Linked DNA regions of Mus musculus. The protein of the gene in region 3 interacts with the protein of the main gene of each other region in a pairwise test. Links are inferred from orthologs where the notes say so. Each region holds a gene or a part of one and is shown on either strand. Other genes may lie near its edges. The genes, in order: Usf1, Creb5 and Fosl1.

Region 1 (6,979 bases), on a different chromosome or scaffold from region 3:
ATTCCTTTAAACCTGGCACTCAGGAGACAGGCAGGTGGATCTCTGTGAGTTTGAAGCCAGCCTGGTCTACAGAGTGAGCTCCAGGGCAGCCAGGACTACGATATACCCAGGACTATGTAAATATTATTTTGTCTCAAAAAAATAAAACAAAATAAATTTAAAAAGTAATAACTAAGTATCTACCATGTACATAGACACCAAGCTATAAGCACTTTTTTTGTTTGTTGGTTGGTTGGTTTTATTTTGTTTTTCAAGAAAGTGTTAGGGCTGGCGAGATGGCTCAGTGGTTAAGAGCGCTGACTGCTCTTCCAAAGGTCCCGAGTTCAAATGCCATCAAACATATGGTGGCTCACAACTATCTGTAACGAAATCTGATGCCCTCTTCTGAAGTGTCTGAAGACAGCTACAGTGTACTTACATATAATAAACAAGCAAACAAACAAAACAAAAAAAGGACCATTTCTACATCTTAAAAAAAAAAGAAGAAGAAAGAAAGAGTTTTTTTCTGGGTAGCTCTGGCAGTCCTGGAACTTGTTGTGTGGAGCAGGCTAACCTTGGATTCAGAGATAAGACTGCCTCTGCCTCCTGAGTGCTGAGATTAAAGGCATCCACCCCACCCCCCACCCCAGCACACCATCTTGATGCTAATAACAGTGACTAGCACCACAGTTTTATAGATAGAGAAACTAAATCACAGAGCTGGTAAGTGTTGGAGCTGGGTACCTGAACCCAGATCTCCCGAATCCAATGTTCTTAGTCATTCTGCATTAATTCTGCATTCTCCAGGCCATCCCTCCTCTGCCCAGACATCCCTCTTCACTTACCCCTTCATCTCTCTGTGAGGGGGCTCATCCGAGGCGCCGGTCTTTTTTCGGAGGACTTTGTATCTCCCAACTCAAAGGCCTGAATGCTAAGTCCTGGTGGAAACCACAGAGTTTGCAGTGAGGCCAGGCAACTGAACAGCTTTCCAGGTTCTAGAACCTAGGTTCCAAGAAGACACAGCCAGGAAGATAAACCAAGCATCCGCAAAGGACAGTCAACTCCCCCAATTCTGATGGCAAGGGCTAGTCTGCAGTGACTGAAGAAGCAACTCTTCACGGGACATGGAGGCTCACTCCTGGGAGCCTAACACTCAGGGGAAGGAGACAGGAACGGTGCGAGTTTGAGGAGAAAAAGGACCAAGTGTGCTTGCTCATGCCCGTAATACCAATACTTAGGAGTTCAAGGCCATCCTGGGGTGCAAAGCTAGTGTCACGCTAGGCTGGGCTACAAGAACTTGTCTCAAAATAAAATAAAACAAAACTGGGAGATTGGCTCAAACAGCACTCGCAATGGAAGTCTCACTCGGAATGAAGGTAACACCCGAGTCCTAAAACCTATAGAAGAGAGGAATGCAGCATTGAGAGCATGTGTAATCACAGGGCGCCTGATGGAGAGCTGGAGATGAGAGAATCTCTACAAGCGGGGCGCCAGCCACTGTCTCCAGCAACGTGGAAAGACAACAACTGACCCCCTACGGCTCTCCTCTGACCAAAAGAAAAGCTAGGAGGGCTCAGCAGGCAGGGCGTGGTGGCAATGCCTGATTCAAGCACTTGGGAGCCAGGCACGTGGATCTCTGAGTTCAAGGCCAGCCATGGCTACAGAGTTCCAGGATGACCAGGGCAACCTAGAGAATCCATATCTCAAAAAACAAAACAAAAAAAACAACCTCCTCCCCTCAAAGAGGCAAAAACTAACTTGTGAAAGCTGTTTATCACAGCGTCCAGCCCACCACACACATGCATGTGCACACACACACACCAAAACTTTTCTCTCTTCCTTCCTTCCCCCCCAACCCCGCTTCTCTCTTTCTGAGACAGGGTTTCTCTTGTAGCCCTGGCCGTCCTGGAACTCACTCTGTAGGCCAGGCTGGCCTCTGAACTCTCAGAGATCCTGCCTGCTTCTGCCTATCTAGTGCTAGGATTAAAGGCATGGGTCGCCACCACCCAGCTGCTCCTCCATTTTCATTCCAACTCCTGGGGGGAGGAGTAGACTGTGAAACAATGTCTGGGGTGCATGGCTGAGGCTATTGTGGATTGTTACTAAAGCTATTATACTCTATGTCAGCAGCTTCACAGGAAAAGCTAGAGCAAAGTTTAGACCACCACTATCAAAACCAGTAACTAATAACCCCCCCACCCACACACTCCCTCACACACTCCCTGATTCTTCTTCCAGCTTCTCCAACACAAACTGTACGAAAAGAAATCTGAAGCTGGGAGGTGGTGATGCCAGCCTTTGATCCCAGCACTAAGAAGGCAGAGGCAGGCAGATCTCTGAGTTCAATGCCAGCTTGGTCTACAGAGTGAGTTCCAGGACAGCCAAGGTTATGTATAGAGAGGTCCTGTTTCAAAATCAAATAAGAATAACAAAAAACAAATTCCAGTCCTCAAATCTAAGAAGAGGAAAACTGAAACCTTTTTTGCTATTGGGAAACCATCACTAAGCATAAAACCCAGGTTTGGCTCTTGGATACTACTCCGCTGTCGGGGCTCTTGTTTTGAGAGAGTCCAGATTTACAGCATCTGTTACAAACACCAGTGCCCAAGTGCATCATGTTCAAGGCTTCTTTATTTTATCCAGCAAGGCTTCCTGTAGAGCAACATAGTTGCTAAAATGTTGCCATGACAACTCCAAATCAACTAAGCCTCAGGAGGAGGGGGGGAAAGAAAACCTCCAGGCTCAGGGTTCTGCAGGAGAAAAGACAAAGGGGGAGGAATCCATCTACAATGTTCCTGCCTTAGGACTTTTGACAACCAGCCAGAGAACGGGAAAAAACAAAGAACTGTACAGACAGATGCCACCAGAAAGAAACAGCTGCATAGGACAAAGCAATAAAATAATCTCAACAAGAAAGGACAAGATTTTTTTTAAACACTCTACCCGCAAGATCTTCCAAACCTTTCTAATCAAAGAAAAACCTTAGTTTAGCGGATAATGCGCCTCGGAAAGACCGTGTGCAAAGAAGAACGTTAACAACAATAACAAAAGGGAACTGAAAGTGAAACTGTCCGTAGAAAGTAAGGCTGCAAAGGGAGGCAGCGTCCGGATGTACGGACCACCTAGGGGGTCTCCATCCTCAAACAGGAGGAAGAGCTCCTCCTGAAGCTCCTGGCACGGCCTGCAGGAGGAGGCTATGAAAGAGACTGCAAGGCGCACGAGACAACCGTATAGCCAACAGCTGTCAGCGCAACTTCTGAGGCTACCCAGAAACGGCGGTAGGCTCCTTACTCAAACCTTGGTTGTATATCCGGAAGCATCCTGAGCATTAATAATACGTGATACGGAAATCAGCCTAGGATTTTGTGGTTTTGCATGCTCAAAAGGAGAGCCCAGCAAACGTCCTCACCAAGCACAGACGCAAAGGCAGAAATTTAAAAAACAAAACACCCCCCACCACCACCCACACACAAAAACCAGATCAAGTTCCCAAAGACTTCAAGCGCCCGGACCTTGCCCGAGAACGACGCGTCTCCCTGCAGGCCCACCGACTAGTAGTAGGCGCTTGGGGACCTGAGTACCCGGCAGGCGCGAGCCCCGCAGCCCGCGCGGTGACCCCGCCGGTCCCAGCCCAGCTCGCCTGCGCCCCAGCTGCTCCGCGGAGGAGAGACGGGGAAAGGACGCCGGGGACCTTCCCGGGCCTGCGGCTCGAAGCTGGATACCCACCGCAGGCGGCTGGGACGTGTGCACACCGGGGCGGGGAGCGAGCTCGGCCCACAAAGCAGGAGAGAAAGAGCCGGGCACGGCCCCCTCCCCCAAAACAAAGGCTCCGTGCCCAGGCGTGGCCTGGCCTGGGAAACGCCAGCCAAAGCAAAGGTGCCCCGCCATGCCGATCCACCGGCGTCCGGACTCCGGCCGGCTCCGACGCACTCACCGGGCCAGGCCGCTTCAGTCGCCGATTTCCCCCGGCAGCCTTCTCCGTCTTTGGATCTAGGTCTCTCCATAGACAGCTGCTCATGCGCAGTCCCAGCCTGCGGCCATGTTGGTGAGGGGCGGAAGTGTGCCCTCGACCCGCCCAGCCGACGGACGGCCCCCCGAGCTGCCACACTTCCGCTCGCTTCAAATCTGATGCCCGCTAGAGCGGATGTGGGTACGTGAGTGGTCGCAGGCTCTGAAGGGAAACAGACGGTATCCTTGGGGACCTCGCTAGAGGCCTTTGTTTTCAGTAAGAACCAGGAAAAAAAAAACCCGACTAAATTGTACTTCCATCCTTGTGGTAGGCGGAGCCCTTTTACTTCCAGTAAAAGGAAGTAGAGGGTGGAACGGCAATCTTAGGCGCCATCTTTCATAAGGGCAATGTGGGACGCCATCTTGGATCAGGGCATCACTTTGAGGGGGTTCCAAGTGGACTTTGGGACATTTCTGAGTGTACGTGGATCTGGGTATATACCTTTGTATTAACGTCAGCAATACTCCAAAGACCTCATAGCTTTTCCTCAGGCTCTTAAATACGTGTGGGGACGAGTTTGATTACCATTTTCTTCATTCTGGGTGTACCCAGAGTGATTTTGGAATAGTGAAGTATAATAGCAATAGCTAGAATTCAGATTCTGAAGCCATTCAGACTCTGAACTGACACTTTTTTTTTTTTTTTTTTTTTTTTGCGATAGGGTATTTCTATGTAGTCCTACATAAACTATGCTGGACTCGAATACACATAGATCTCTCCACTCCCAAGTGCTAGGATTAAAGACAGCCACCACACCTAGAAACTAACACTTCTTAACTCTGAGGTTTTTGATGGGCATTTTTACTTAACTACAGCTCAATTTCTTTGTAAAACGGAAATACCAATACCAACTTCACATCAAGTGGATTAAATAAATTCAAGAGCAAAGTTTTTATGCACACAAATCTGGCCCAATTCCTGGCATTAGATGAACATTATGTAAATACAGGTTTCTCTTCCTCATTTCTTGACCACCATGAACCCAGTTCTACTTTCTAGCTACAGTTTCCCATGACAACTGAGGAAGAATATCTAAATAAGAAAAAACAAGATATATACATTTTGGCAACTTTGGAATGTGATACCATTCACCCAAAACTTTAATAAGACAAAGTACATACACTGTTTAAATGTTAAAAAAAAAATTCAGCTTTTATTATCAAATACCCACCATTGCTAAATGGTGGCCTGTAGCCCCAGCCTGTGCAGAGACAGTGCTAGAGCCAAATTGAGTGACATTCCCTCTACTTTTCTTTTCCTTTTTCTTTTCTTTCTTTATTTATTTTATGTATATGAATGAGTACACCATTGCTCTCTTCAGACTCACCCGTAGAAGGCATCAAATTCCGTTACAGATGGTTGTGAGCCATCATGTGATTGCTAGGAATTGAACTCAGGACCTCTGGAAGAACAGTAGGTGCTCTTAACCTCTGAGCTATCTCTTCAGCCCAACATTCCCTTTTCCTAAAATGGGAGGACCTCTTCTGCAAAATAATTGAAGGTAGAGGATGCCACCCATTTCCTTCAGCAAACACTGAGGACTTTAAAGAGCTTCTTGGATGTTTCTCCTACTCTGAAACTAAAGAGGGTCAGAAGACAGCCAAAAATCTAGGAACAAATCAGGGGTGAGCTATTCTATATCTGGTCCTATATCTCCCACATCTACAGTAGGCTTCTGTGAAGAGATATTCACAGCTCAGAATAGGGCAAAAGTTTGGCTGAAATTCCCCCACTGTATTTAAATTTAAGAAAAAAAAAAGCTTTTACCTACCCTATGTTTTTGTTAACTCCCTGGAAACAAGATTGTTCTATGTTTCTTAAGACTCTGCTAAGACATAAGTGGCTTTGTGTCTAACACAAACATAAGTAAATCCACCAAGTCTGTACCTCTCATGGTCAAAACAAGAAGCTGGAGGACCCAAGCCTATGGAATTAGACATCTCAGCTGCCGAGGCAGCAAAGACAGCTAGGCAAGTGCTCCAGAGATTGGTGATGATTTCTTGGTTCCTCTTGTCCTGTCCTAATCATACCCCTTCATCTTTCCCATGATTAGTCTGTGTTTCAAAAGCATATGTCTGGCGCTGAGGGGCCACAAGAGGGACAACAGGGTGAAGCTCTCTAGGGGGCAGACTAAGCCGACTCCTGGGCTCAGACCCCTCTGTGCCTTCAGGTGGGCGTTCCAAACAGCTAAGGGGCCGGGAAGAATGGGCAAGGATCATGCTACAAGGAGGGGTTCTGGAGCTGAGACTATAATCCCCACCTCCAGTACAGGTCTGGGTCCGCAGAACTCCCTGAGACTCGGTCCTCTGGCGTTCCCGGGCCAGGGCCACAGCAGCATCAAAAGAAAGACTGCCCCCATTCCTCCAGGAAGCTCGAGAACCCCAAGCTTTTTCTCCAGGAGTCCCATCAAGCCTACCAGGCCTTGGACATGGGCTTGCAGGTGCTACATGGATCTTGCTACACATTGCACTGGGCATCTTGGCAAACTGTGGTTTGGGGGGCACTACAGGGACAGAGCGGACCTGTCGGACCTGAACTAGGGTGGAAGCCAGACGCATGCCCACACCACCAGCTGACCCACAGGGACAAGAATACAGGTCACATGTCTCAGGATTAAGCTGTCCCTCAGCCTCCATGCCCTCTGGTTCAGATGGCTGTAGCGGGGCTTGTTTCATCTCAGAGGTCTGTTCATTGATTTCTTCTGTACTGTCAACCCTCAGTAACTCGACACCTGGCCCTTCAGAGAGGGCCCCCTCTTCTAAGTGGTCACCAACACCTCTCATGACTTCAGTTTCTACGTCTATACTTTTTTGTTCCTTGCTGAAAACCCCTTCCTTCCTATCATCACCCTCTTCTGGACTTCCACTGTCTTCACTGTGTCCTTGGTCTTCTCTTGACTTAAGGTCACTCTTCCTCCTCAGCTCTTTGGTCTCACTCTCTCTGCCTTTCTCAGCCTCATGCTTGTGGACAACTTCCCAGCTCTCCTCAAGA
Region 2 (6,940 bases), on a different chromosome or scaffold from region 3:
CTAGCAATGAGTGTGCACACATAAACTGGGCGTACATGCCCTGGAAGGCATTTGAAAGGGTGCAGCCGAGAGTCTTCACCAGACAGTTGTAAAGGTCCCAGGCAAGCTGAAGATCAAGGAAAAGGGCATAGGAACGAGAAGGAATCAAAGAGGTAAAGTGCAACTTTAAAATATAAATTATTTTAAAAAGCAGAAAAGAGGTTCTAAATCACCGCGGTCGCGTAGGCACGGGTTTATCCTGGGAAGGTGCTTCCCTTTTGCTTCTGATACAATGGGGATAGGGGTGGGGGTGGGGGTGGGGGTGGGGGTGGAGCTTAAAAGCTTAAAGCTGCTGCACACAGTTCATTCGCTGTTTGGGAGGGGCCAGGCAGCTCCAGCGAGCTGAGTGGTGCTGGGTGTTCTTGGAGATGGGCATGCAGTGAAGAGAAGCCAGGAGGAAGGCATTTTATGGGTAAAAGAAAATCCAAAGCCGCTCGGGTTCCCATCACTGATGCCCTTTAGCTGAATTTGCTTCCTAAATGAAAGAGCTCACGTGAAAAAAAAAAAAATGAAAAGAAGAAATACATTTAAAAAAAAAAAAACTTTCTCAGAAGGTAGATTAACTAAGAACTCACAGAGCAGTAAACAAGCCTCAAAAGATGCACAAAGATCTGCGCGCGGGCTTCCAGCAAATGACAGGAAGAGCCACCCAAGACCCTGAAAAATGGCACCCAAACTAGGGCAGGCTATTAGGGACTAACATTTTCAAGACACATAGAGCCTACAGAAGAATACTGTTCAAATGGAATGTTTAAAATAACATTTATTAATAAATATCTTATACATTCTAAATTAATAGATTCCTGTTCAAATTTTGCTTTGGTCCTTGAATCCCACTGTACATACATACATATATATTTTCTTAGATGGTTTTGCTCAAAAGGAAGGACATCCTATTCTAACTGAAAGGCTAGTTTTATAGCAGTTACTGATGCTTAAAAATAAGCCCAGCTAAGGGCTTTTTTTTTAAATTGAAGCTGGTTTATGATTCTAATGGCAAACTCTAGGCCACTATAATCTGCTTTCCTAGAAGGCAACAGTTACCGGAACATTTCCCCACTGACACCTCTCTTGGAATAACCACTGCATTTTATTGATTAGATTAGTTCCACGGAGCACTGGCTGAGCAAGTCACCCCAGTCTTTATGATACACACCTCAACAGCACACACACTATCGGTCACCCACAGGCTGTTTTAATATGGCAACTCGCACACATTGACATGTGGGTAAAGAGATGACGAGGGTCACCAGCACCCAGTAGATCATAGCTAACTCCATATCTAGCTTTGAGATTCGAACACTCATCCGGGGCTGGGACTTTGAGTCTGCCTATCCCAGCATCGTAGATTGAGAAAGGTGTTTCTAAGAAGCATTCATGTGCCATGTCTTTCTCTCAGTGAGTGGGGATGTGCACTAAGTTTCCAGCCCTCAGCATGTTAGGCAGGGAGGTACTGGAGAAGTGCCCAGGAGGCTGGCAGGGACTTCAGAAGCAGATCCTGTGATAATGGAGCCACACAGGAGTAAGAGAGGCAGTGTTTCTTGAACTTTCTTTCCCTCCTTGGACGGGGGAACTCTGAAGGCTGTTACCACTGACTCCTGAAAGTCTGTATGGCTGACACTGGTAACTGGATGGGAGAAGACGATGAAAAGGAATTAGAGAGATGCTCTCCTCGAATCGCTGGTGTATGGCAGTCAGTGCAAGGGTTGTTTCAGGCAGGCTCTGAGATCTGGTAAAGGATGGACCTTTCTGTGGAATCTTGACTAGGGATAAACCAGAAATTAGATTTCCCCAGAAGTTTTTCTCGACTGACAGCGAGCTGGCACCCTCACCGACTCTATCCATACTGCAAACAAACACACCTAAAGGGCCTGCCCATAACAAGAAGGCAGTTTATCCTAATTATATGTTGAGAAAGGTTTGCTGTGTGTGGTGGCTTGCCTACTTAGCATAAAAAACAGACATAATTGAGCTATAAATAATGCACATCAGTCAAGCTGTCGAGTCTCTGAATTAAGAAAACCCAGGCAAGTTCTTAACTGCAAAGGCTGTCCCTGGAACGGCTAAGCACTTCAGTTGAGTGGTGGGAGAGACATAAACTGAAAATCATCATTTTAGTGGCGGGTCACTCCCTGGATGTTATATTACTAGTGGATTAAAAAATTCATTTCTTCAAGTGCTATACATGCAGGCAGGAGGGAAAGGTCCTGTTTACCCAAAGCAAGTGTCAGATAGAAGCCACAAGCTCTGCCACTCTAGCTTGCCCCTTCTATTTTGAAGGGAGCAGAGCACTGACCTGATCTAAGGAAGGAATTTTGCAGAAAATGACCTTTGATTTCAATCCAGAGCTATGAATGTTAAATTCTTTCAAATCTAAGACTTACACGTTTCTTAGCAAGCCAGTTAGGTTAAACCATTTTGTTACTGCTGGAATTAAAAAAAAAATAACAATATTAACTCAGTATTTAAAATACTTGAAAATGATGCATTTTCCTAAAATACAATAGAAATTTCTGTTTGCTCCATCTTCTTTCTTCCCTTTTCATTTTTCTTTTCCCTCTTTTTATTTTATTTTTTCATTTCTTTTTGATTCTTAGGCCATATACTCTTATGCTTTACTGAACAGCCAAACATGTCTCTCAAAAAGCACAGCATACATGAAAATTATTGATAAATATTGATTTTTTAAAAGTAAGTTATTAGATAAAACTGAAACTAGTTATAAAAGTCATGCTCAGAGCCCTCATATTTTCTTTTTTTTTCCTCTAAAATAGAATTTTTTTTAAACTATAGTGAGCGAAGAAGTACATCCTTCCTTTACAGAACTCTTATAAAAGTGATGGCTTTTGTAAAATACTGTTCTTTTAAAACCTATACTGTTCATAAACACACACACACACACACACACACACACACACACACACACTCACACACTCAGGCACACACATCCATGTGCACACACACACACATAGGTTAGGAGGTGAATTATTTGGGCAGAGATGAAACACCAGCATATGCCCAGACTGCTAGTGAGAAACATTAGCCCCTATTATTTGTGAAACACGATAGTAAAACACCAGCAGAGTAGAATGGCTTGTTTCAAGGAGGCACAACTGTGGTTTGGGTTTGATCTGCTTTCCGTAATGGGCAAGTCCGTGGACATTGCTGAAAATATAAATCAGAACTACTCAGATGAGCGCACCAGCCTGGCCACCTCCATGGGACTCGGTCAGCAGCCAAGGAGTCTGACTGTTCTGGCAGACTGCGAGTCCCCGAGAAACGCTGGCCTCGCTTTCTCTCTGTTGCTCCAAGAGTGAGTTTGCTTTTGCCCACCAGAACAGCAGAGCTGGTTCCATAGGCTTAAGAAAAATAATAATAATAAATCTTAGGTTATTAGCAGCTGATGATTGAACAATGTAATCTGTGTAGTGAACAGAGCCCTTCTGAACTATTATATAGTGCATGGATTTTTTACATTATAGACAGGCCATAGAAGCGAGCTGTAATTCGAGGGTGTGATGTTAGAGCCCACATCCTTATTTGAATTTTCACAGTTGGAGCTTACGAAGTCCCTTTCCCTAGTGTCCCCACAGCTGGCATTCAACAGTGCTTCACCTATAACCAAACCACCTTTTATTTGCTCTGGTTATTAAAAACATTAAATCAGGCACATTAAACATCTCCTGGTTGCTATTTTGTGAAAGGCAAAAATTGAATGAACTCCAGCTGTGGGTTAAACTGTGGCTAGGTCCACAGTTTCCAGATTTGCTTTTTCTCTTCTTTAAACATTATTTTCTTTTTTACATGCAAAGCTAAAGGGGAGAAAAGGAAACAGAAAAAAAGTCAAAACAAAGAGTAAACAAGGGATCCGGGGAAAGGAAAATGAGATGGATATTGGACATCTGCGCAAGTAGAAAAGAGAGGAAGGAGGGGGCCTGAGATGCTTGGTGGCTTTCATGGGATATGGATGGACCATAATTTATTTTTTTCTAGCAAGAGAAAAAAATATTCAGGAAGGCCCATGTGTTTATCTGAGATTCTGGTGACATCACAGCACAAACTCAACATGAGTTATGACATCATGAGCTTTCCCACCCAGTTACTGTGTGGATCCATCTCGCTTGACATCTAAGCATACCTCATTTTGGCTAAAAGCTGTAGTTGAACAAGATTCATTGTTCCAGGCAAAGGGTTGGGCTGGTAAGAATGAAACCATGGCTATATACAGGAAAGGTTCCGTTTATAAACAAGAAACTGGTACCAGAAAATTGCAGAGAAGCACCAACGTGCTCCCCAAGCTGATAGATATTCATTGCATATCTCCCTTTTTTCTTATATAACTAAGTATAAAAGACAACATTTCCATAATAACTATAAAAATGAAAGCCAGTCTTTGAAGGGCTGAGGCGTCTTCCAGGTCTGAGATAATTCTAAAAAAAATGCCCCTTTGAGAAAGGATGTACGGCATGCTACAGCTCTTCTCAAAGGCCAGGTTTGACCGATGCCTTTTAAAGAATAGGATTCAGGTCTGTTCTGTGAGTTGTAAGCTGACTGAGGGTGGAGCTCCCCACGACCTCGCTGACCGATGAGGATGTAGTGATGGTGTTGTGTTGGATAACTTGCTGCTGAGAGCATGCTGGCACAGGGCTCGCAGGAGGGCTGCTCTCTGGACCTAGGAGGAAAAACAGACACACACACACAAATATAGCTCTTTCTTGGGGGAGTAGAAATGCTATTAGACATTAAACTGCGTGTGGAGGAGCTTCATACATTTCCTTCTGGAAGAGAAGGCCAAAGCTTCATTTTAAACTGAGGTTGCCAAGCTAAGCCTCCCAGGCTCATAGCTATGGGAAAAGCCACTTTCCCCATCAGTAAGATGACCCCCGTAAAATGTGTTTGATCAAGCCTTGGGGGTATGAATTCCCCCGTCTTATATTTTCAGGTAGCCGTTCGTATTATTAAATGTGGAAAAATACTCACATGTGGTGGGAGAATCTGTGTTGCTCAATCTAAAAAATTATTTGAAAACAAATTGACCTTCAGCCACGATTCATTGTTCCTCCTGCCTTCCCTGATTCACCTAGCATTTAGTCTACTGCCATTGTAAGTACAGAAAGTGGAGCCAGGGAGGAAGAGACCCCCACACTGTTTGCTGAAAAACAGGGGGAGCCCAGGAACTTTGCAGCCTGGTGGGCAACATGCAGCATCTCCTGAGAAACTAGAGGCAAGTGATACACCCAGAGATGTCTCTCAGCTCCCAGGAGGATTCTCTCAGGAGGATGAACAGGCCTCTAGTAACTGGACCCCCACAGACTCATTTCTGGCTACAAAGCAGGAATTTGGTAATGTGCTGCCAGGGAGAGTAAGGCCAGACCTTATTGGGGGTGGGGATGGGGGAGGGGTCCTGGGCATGGTTTTGGGAAGAGGTCAGGAAAGATGGCTTCCCCTGGCAGAAGCATCTATAACCTCTTAGTCATTCCCAAGTATCTGTCTGGGTGTGCAGCCTGTGCTGTATTTTTCCCTTATAATAAAAATTCAGGGCAAAATGAGAGACAAGTTTTCTTCTAAGGAATAAAAACGTGACTTACTTAAATACCCTTGGGATTCTTTCTGCATGGCTGTTATCGGACAGTCTTTATGTGTTAACAACAACTGCTTCAGCTGGGCCACCTCGTTTTTCAACATGGACACTTCATTCTGGGAAGACATAGTAACATTGTGTTGAGAAGACCAAAGAATTAGCAAACACAAAAGTCCCACCATCTGCTTTCAACAACAGAGTTATCAAGCTTTACTGACTGTGTTCAAATGACATTCAGAAAGTTACTTTGAGGGACTGATCCGAATTCTGTAGTTTCCCTTCCATTTGGCCCTCTTATTGTATGGGTCTTTTGAAGAGACCAAAGTTTAACTCAAGAACTGAACCCCTACATAAAAAGCAGACCATAGCCTTTAAGTGACGGGCTCTGGAACCAGATAATATAGCCGAGATGCCCATGCTTCTCTGACCATGTGACCTGAGATAGCTGTGACCATGTATTATCTAACATGATTTGGTTAACCTCCACCAACCTCATTTATAGCATTTAGAAGATGGAGTTAGAAATGGTACAATGTACAATGAACTTGGTGACACCCATGGTACAAACGTACATAAGTAGACATCGTCTAGAGAAGAAAACTCCTAGAAGTCTAGAAGTTAACTTTAAAAAATGAAGCTGTTTCTTTAATGAATATCTCCCACTTGCAAATGCATTTGAAACACTGGATAAACTGTACCCCGAATAGCATTGCTAATAAAGTAACAAATGTCTCATCTGCAAAAGCTTTCCCCATTATCCTTCAAACCACAAAATAATGATAATAGTGAGAAATTCTCTTAAAGATGAATAAATCACTTAATGGTACAGGAAAATTGCTCTTAAATCTGCGAGCATTCATGAAGGCAAACAGTACCTCCCACTTCCCAGCTAGGATGATTGATAGGTAGCCAGCCATGGTTCGAAGTGACTTTTGGCAAGTAAGGACAACTTTATTTTACAGGGAAATTCACATCCGCCTCCAACCAACTCCTCTTTGAACTTTAACTGAATTATGTTGTTTAAATAACATTCTTTGTTTCCCCACACCAAGTTCTCCTATTTTTAAAATAGTATGTATAAGAGAAATTCACCTTTAGAACATTATATATCTTTATGTATATGTTTAAAAATAAAATAAAACTGCTCAAGCTGAAACAGAGAATTGTTGTGTGTGTGTATGTTTGTGCATGCACACAGCAAGGTGAAATGTCTGGACTTGCATACGTTAGCACTGACACCTTTCTGAACACACCATTCCGGATACCCTAACAAAACTGGCAGTTACAGATGATGTAGACAATGCAACTTAGAAACCATTA
Region 3 (6,311 bases):
TCCTCACATGTGAGTGTGCAGAGATCTGGATGGGTGACTCAGCAGCGGCTCTGGCTGCTCCTTAGAGGATCCGGGTTCCAATCTCAGCACCCACGTGGCAACTCACTGTCCACAACGTCCCCCAAAGGTTCTGATGCCCTCTTCTGGCCTCCACCAGCACTGAATGCACAAGGTGCTCATACAAACACACAGGCAAAATACTCAGAGGTAAATTTGTTCTTTTTTTTCTTTTGAGACAGGGTTTCTCTGTATAGCCCTGGCTGTCCTAGAACTCACTCTACAGACCAGGCTGGCCTCAAACTCACAGAGGCATCTGCCTGCCTCCCAAGTGTTGGGACCAAAGATGTATGCCATCACTATAAGCCTTTTTTTTTTTTGTAAATTTTATTTATGAATGAGTGCTTCCATGTATACCTTCATGCCAGGAGAGGGCATCAGATCCTATTATAGGTGGTTGTGAGCCACCGTGTGTGGCTGGGATTTGAACTCAGGACCTCTGAAAGAGGAGCTCTTAACTGCTAAAACATCTCTCTAGCCCCAGTCTACATATTTTAAATCTTTTTTTAAGATTGATTTATTTATTATACATAAGTACATTGTAGCTGTCTTCAGACACTCCAGAAGAGGGCGTCAGATCTTGTTATGGATGATTGTGAGCCACCATGTGGTTGCTGGGATTTGAACTCAGGACCTTTGGAAGAGTAGTCAATGCTCTTACCCGCTGAGCCATCTCACCAGCCCCTTTTTTAATCTTTAAAAAAAAAAGGGGGGGGGCCTGGAGAGATGGCTCAGCCGTTAAGAGCACTGAATGCTTTTCCAGAGGTCCTGAGTTCAATTCCCAACAACCACATGGTAGCTCACAACCATCTGTAATGGGATCCAATGCCCTCTTCTGGTGTATCTGAAGACAGCAAGGGTCTACTCACATATGTTAAATAAATAAATAAAAATTTAAAAGCCAGGTGGTGTTGGTTCAGACAGCAGATCTCTGTTTAAGGCCAGCCTGGTCTGATCTACAAACCAAGTTCCAGGACAGCCAGGGCTACACAGAGAAACCCTCTAAAAAACCAATCTATGTAGGGGGTGCTGGTGAAATGGCTCCGTGGGTAAAGGTACTTGCTGCGAAATTAATGACCTGAGTTCAATCCTTGAAATCCACACAGTAGAAGGAGAGAACCAACCTCCAAGGGTGCTATGACACACACACACACACACACACACACACACACACACACACACACACACACACGACTATATATATGAATATATGACTCTAGCCAGGCATAGTGTGGCACATGCCTTTAATCACAGTACTTGGGAGGCAGAGGCAGGTGAAGTTTGAGGCCAGCCTACAGAGTGAATTCCATGACAGCTAGAACTATGAAGATGAACCCTGTCTTTAAAAACAACAGCAACATAAAGAATCTATGTAGGGAAGCTGGAAGGGATGCTGATACAGTCTGCAATCCTATTACTCTAGAGGTGGAAGCCAAAGAATCAGGGGTTTCAGGCCGGTCTTGCCTATACACTGAGCTAAAGGCCAGCCTGGGACACATGAGACTTTGTCTCTTTTAAAAAGACAAAACAAGGGGGTTGGTTAGATGGCTCAGTGGGTAAGAGCACCCAACTGCTCTTCTGCAGGTCCGAAGTTCAAATCCCAGCAACCACATGGTGGCTCACAACCATCTGTAACGAAATCTGAGTCCCTCTTCTGGAGTGTCTGAAAACAACTACAGTGTACTTACATATAATAAAAATAAATAAATCTTAAAAAAAAAAAAAAAAGACAAAACAAGCCAGATGAGGTCTGTGAGTTCCAGGCCAGCCTGGTCTATAAATCAAGTTCAAGGCCAGGCAGGGCTACTCAGAGATTCTGTCTAAAATACAAAGAAACAAAACTACAAAAAGCAGAAAAAGGAATCTACGAAAGGGCTGGTGAAGGGGTGTAACTCAGTGGTAGAGCATTTGCCGAGCTAGCATGTACCAAGCCATGGGTTTGATCCCTAGCACTAAGCAAAAGAAAAGTCCTACAAAGGGCTTTGTTGGCATAGTAGATTGATTCCCAGTAGCTTTTGGCACTCAAGAGCACCTTCTACAATTCACAGCTCCTGGGGGAAGAAATCCCATCTTCCACAGATGAGGAGGCTGAGAGTCCTGTGAAAAGAGATAATCATGTCTCATACACTCAGGAGAGAAGGCTACTTCTGCCTGAGAAATGAAAAGGCTTCCTGGGGTCCCAACATCTTAGTCCAGTCCTAAGATGCGGAAGGGAGGAAGATCAAAGTTTACAGAGAGGGAAAGCATTTCAGGAAAGAAACCAGCAGTAAAGCTAGGTGTGTGTGAGCTGGAAATGTCACCAATGAGATGACAAGCGTCCGGTACAGAGAAGCAACTGTGGAGTGTTGGGTGGTGGCACCTAGACTACAGACTGAAGGAAAGCTGGATGACCAGCTCAGGGCAGCTGGTGGCTCAGAGTCAGCCTCATTGTCTCCCTTCTTCTATCCCAACCTAGATCAGCCCAGAGGAGGAAGAGCGCCGCAGGGTGAGACGCGAGCGGAACAAGCTAGCAGCTGCTAAGTGCAGAAACCGAAGAAAGGAGCTGACAGACTTCCTGCAGGCGGTGAGCATCATCCCCAGGCCCGGACCCACAGAGCCCCAAGAGGGGTCTCGGCTCCCAAGAACACAAAAGACCCAAAATTACTCCTCAGGACTCTGTCATCCTCCCTGCCTGTGGGGAAGTCCTGGAAAAAGGATAAGGGAAAGTGGCTTAAATATTGTTTGTCGGGCTTCGAGGCAGAGTCGAAGATGGTAGGCAGCAATTCTCCTAAGATGCCCCCGTCTGATGGGAGTCATGGCCATTTTCTCCCAGAGGCTCACGGGAGGGAGTTGCAGTCCAGACTTGTTGGGGATGACAGGCACAGTCCCTACTCCAGCCTGAGGCTTGGGGATCTTTAGCCTTCATTTTCCTATCTTTCTGCTAATCCTGTAAAGGAGACCGACAAATTGGAGGATGAGAAATCGGGGCTGCAGCGAGAGATTGAAGAGCTGCAGAAGCAGAAGGAACGCCTTGAGCTGGTGCTGGAAGCCCATCGCCCCATCTGCAAAATCCCAGAAGGAGACAAGAAGGACCCAGGTGGTTCTGGCAGCACCAGCGGTGCTAGCAGCCCACCAGCCCCCGGCCGCCCAGTGCCTTGCATCTCCCTTTCTCCAGGACCCGTACTTGAACCGGAAGCACTGCATACCCCCACGCTCATGACCACACCCTCTCTGACTCCTTTTACTCCGAGTCTGGTTTTCACCTATCCTAGCACACCAGAACCTTGCTCCTCCGCTCACCGAAAGAGTAGCAGCAGCAGTGGCGACCCCTCCTCCGACCCCCTGGGCTCTCCTACACTCCTGGCTTTGTGAGGCACCCAGCCACATCCCTTGCTGGTGCTACTCCAAGCCATCCCCTTTCTCCCATTGATCCAGCAGGCCTGGACCATACCCTTGCCCCAAACCAGCAGATCTTTTATCTCTTCCGACTAGAACAAACACATTATGCTTTGATGTAGAGCCAGCTTGGAGGGGATCCCCAAAGCTGCTCACTGTTTTTCTAGAGCTGGCCTATCATAATTTGCACAAAATTAGAGGAAAATATGTTCCCTCTGCCAGAGAACGCCTGGCAGCCCAGACTTTGTAGATCCCCAGGGGTCCTTTGACACCCTTACCCCTTGCAGACCACTTTCCCACACCACGTCACTTTCTTCATGTTATCCAGCCTACTCTACACCTAGACAGAAGGTGCCCTTTGACTAGCCTAGAACACTAACTCACACAGCATCAACAGCCAGCAGCACCGGACATCCTGCAGGCTCCTCCTGAATGGCACAACGCAGGAGGCGCCAGGGGCTTCTGTGAGGAGCGGAGCTGCACTCCCTAGCTCTGAGAAGCGCTTAGCTTCAGGGTATCCGAGCCTCCACCGCAAGGGCAGCTGCTATTTATTTTCCTAAAGAGACTATTTTTATACAAACCTTCCAAAATGGAATAAAAGGCTTGAAGCTCTAGTCTGGGTTGTCATGTTGGATCCAGAGGCTAAAGGAGACCATTTGGAACAGGAGTTCCAGGTTCCAGTCTCAGCATTGACCTTGAAGAAACTACCATATGTTTTTGGACTTCCATATTCTCACCTGAAGAATGGGGCGACCCTCTGCTCTTCCTTGTCTCCTATACTGAGAGACTAAGAATGCTCTGGAGTGCAAGCAAAGAAGATTATCAATTATTTTCCCCATGGGAACCCACACTGCTCCTGTCTTAAGGACTGGGGGGGGGGCAGGGAAGGCCGGTGGTATATCCTTCCACCATCCATGCAGGCGGTTCAGTGGGCTTTAGGCCCCCAACACCTGCTTCCTGTCCCATTGTTTTAGACAGGAAGGAGCCTGGAAGGGAGCTGGAGCCACTACAGCGGCCGGATTTCAGCCTGTCTTGGCGCCCATCGGGGGAGTTAGTGGTCTACCACCGTCTCAAATCCCACCCCAATCCCAGGTAATAGGGAGTCAGCCCTAGCTCTGCAGTTCCTCCGGATGAGAACTGCACTGCATCTCTGGGTTTACGCCCTCTTCCCAACCCCGGCGAGTTCTAGACACAAGCTGGCCAGGCTTCGGGCTCTGCTTCCTTCCCAGTTTATTAGTCCCCACCCAACCACACAGCAAGTCCCTCCACTTCAGCCTCCATTTCCCCTGCTGCTCTGCCAGCAAGAGCAAGGAGCCCTCCTCAGTGCCAGGGCTTTTCCAGTCCATTCCAGCGCCCTGGTGCTCAGCCGAAGCTACGACCAGGTCTGGAGGTCCACAGCATTCCCCGAGCTCAGGGAGCAATCCAGGCAGGCATTGGCGTGGAAAATGCGGCGCCCTCAGTCATCAGGGGAGCAGGCTAGGGGCAACTGATCCGGGCTGCCCACACTGCCAGTGCTGGAACTTCCATCGCCTAGGTCGCGGGGCCCGCACGGTGGCAGGGCGAGCTCGGGTGTGGGCCCAGCACCTGAGCCCACTGCGCCGCCGGGGCCACCGCGGGGGCCCCACTCTTCGCCCAGTGCTAAGCAAAGCTCCTTAAGGGCCAGATTTTCCCGCAGCAGCTCCTCCTGGCGGCCTTCCAGCTCCGCTAGCTTCTGCCAACAGCCACCCAGGTCCTCGCGCACCGCCCGGGATGCTTGGGTCCCAAAGAGCTGCCACTGGCGCGCCGCACGCCGTCCTCGTTGGCGCTCCGAGTCCAGAAAGCAGCAGAGGTCGCGCAGCTCCCGGTTCTCCGCCTGCAGGCGCCGGTTGAGCTGTTTGAGCTCACGGATCTCGCCCAGGTGACCCTGCAGCTGCCGATTCACCTCCTGCATCAGGCGGCCGCGCTGCACTAGCGCTGCCAGGCGCGCCGCCTCCTCCCGCCGCAGGCGCCGCACCAGCTCCTCCTTACCCAGCGCCGCCATCTCCTCGTCCGTCAGCTCCTCCAGGCCGCCTGCTTCGGCCTCCATAGTTGATCAGGCAGCTGCAGCATCGCCCGCCCACGGCCGAGGCTCTGGAGCCCCTCCTCGGGCCGGTTGCCTCTCAGGCTCCGACCCGGGCTCTGGCTCCGAGGACCGTAGGCAGTGGAAGAGGCAGCGTAGGCTGCAGCAGCTACCCTGGGGTGGGCACGAGGCAGGGCGCGCGCCGGGGCGGGGCCTCGTGATGTTGCCCAAGAACAGCCAATCCAGAAAGTCTCCCAGGAAGGGGCGGAGCCTAAGCCTGTAGCTCTCTTTTCTCGCCCACTCCGGACCTGGGTGTCACGACCCTCAAACAGTAGAGACCTTCTCTCTCCTTTCCTTCTATGGTCATCTCAGCGGGACTTGAAGGCGTTACAGGACTCCATGTTCCAAAATCCCTCGAGCACTTTTTGAGAAATGATATTCAGGTGTCTGCCTTTGACTCCTTCCCACTCCGCAACAGAAGCTAAACAGATGGCTTACCAGGCTCTTCTTCCTTTCCGAGAACTATGAAGCATCACTCCCTCGCAGCTACTCCGAATCTAGAGTCAAAGGTCCTGGCCCATTCCCAACCCTCCCTCCCTTCCTCCCAGGGACCGTTTCCTGCCTGCAGGATGGGCCATCCAAAGGATTTGTTTGTTTAATAAACCTTTGTTGTGTGAAAGGTCCGTGTAGAAATACGCTTAACAATAATCCTGTACTTGATCAAAAAGGTCAAAATCTGACAGAAGAAGCCAAGGCTACACAGAGAAACCCTGTCTTGCAGAGAGAGAGAGCGAGAGCGAGAGAGCGAGAGAGAGAGAGAGAGAGAGAGAGAGAATCTTTT

What was found.
Region 1: the proteins of Fosl1 (region 3) and Usf1 interact in binary tests that used the Homo sapiens proteins (3 or more experiments, as listed by UniProt). The link is inferred for Mus musculus from reciprocal best matches to the Homo sapiens genes FOSL1 and USF1.
Region 2: the proteins of Fosl1 (region 3) and Creb5 interact in binary tests that used the Homo sapiens proteins (3 or more experiments, as listed by UniProt). The two-hybrid records come from large-scale screens. The link is inferred for Mus musculus from reciprocal best matches to the Homo sapiens genes FOSL1 and CREB5.

Annotation. Positions count from the first base shown.
Region 1 is NC_000067.6:171,408,375-171,415,353, reverse strand, and holds the start of Usf1 (upstream stimulatory factor 1), read right to left. Parts: upstream 4,042-6,979; 5' UTR 3,914-4,041; intron 3,912-3,913; exon of another isoform or gene 3,492-3,911; intron 982-3,491; exon of another isoform or gene 918-981; 5' UTR 833-917; coding exon 825-832; intron 1-824. Other genes in the region: Arhgap30 (rho GTPase-activating protein 30), read right to left, coding at 6,013-6,979.
Region 2 is NC_000072.6:53,691,695-53,698,634, reverse strand, and holds part of Creb5 (cyclic AMP-responsive element-binding protein 5), read right to left. Parts: intron 5,737-6,940; coding exon 5,628-5,736; intron 4,712-5,627; coding exon 4,548-4,711; 3' UTR 1-4,547. UniProt on the Homo sapiens protein: Binds to the cAMP response element and activates transcription.
Region 3 is NC_000085.6:5,451,901-5,458,211, forward strand, and holds the end of Fosl1 (fos-related antigen 1), read left to right. Parts: intron 1-1,262; exon of another isoform or gene 1,263-2,512; coding exon 2,513-2,620; exon of another isoform or gene 2,621-2,991; coding exon 2,992-3,408; 3' UTR 3,409-4,038; downstream 4,039-6,311. Other genes in the region: Ccdc85b (coiled-coil domain-containing protein 85B), read right to left, coding at 4,889-5,497.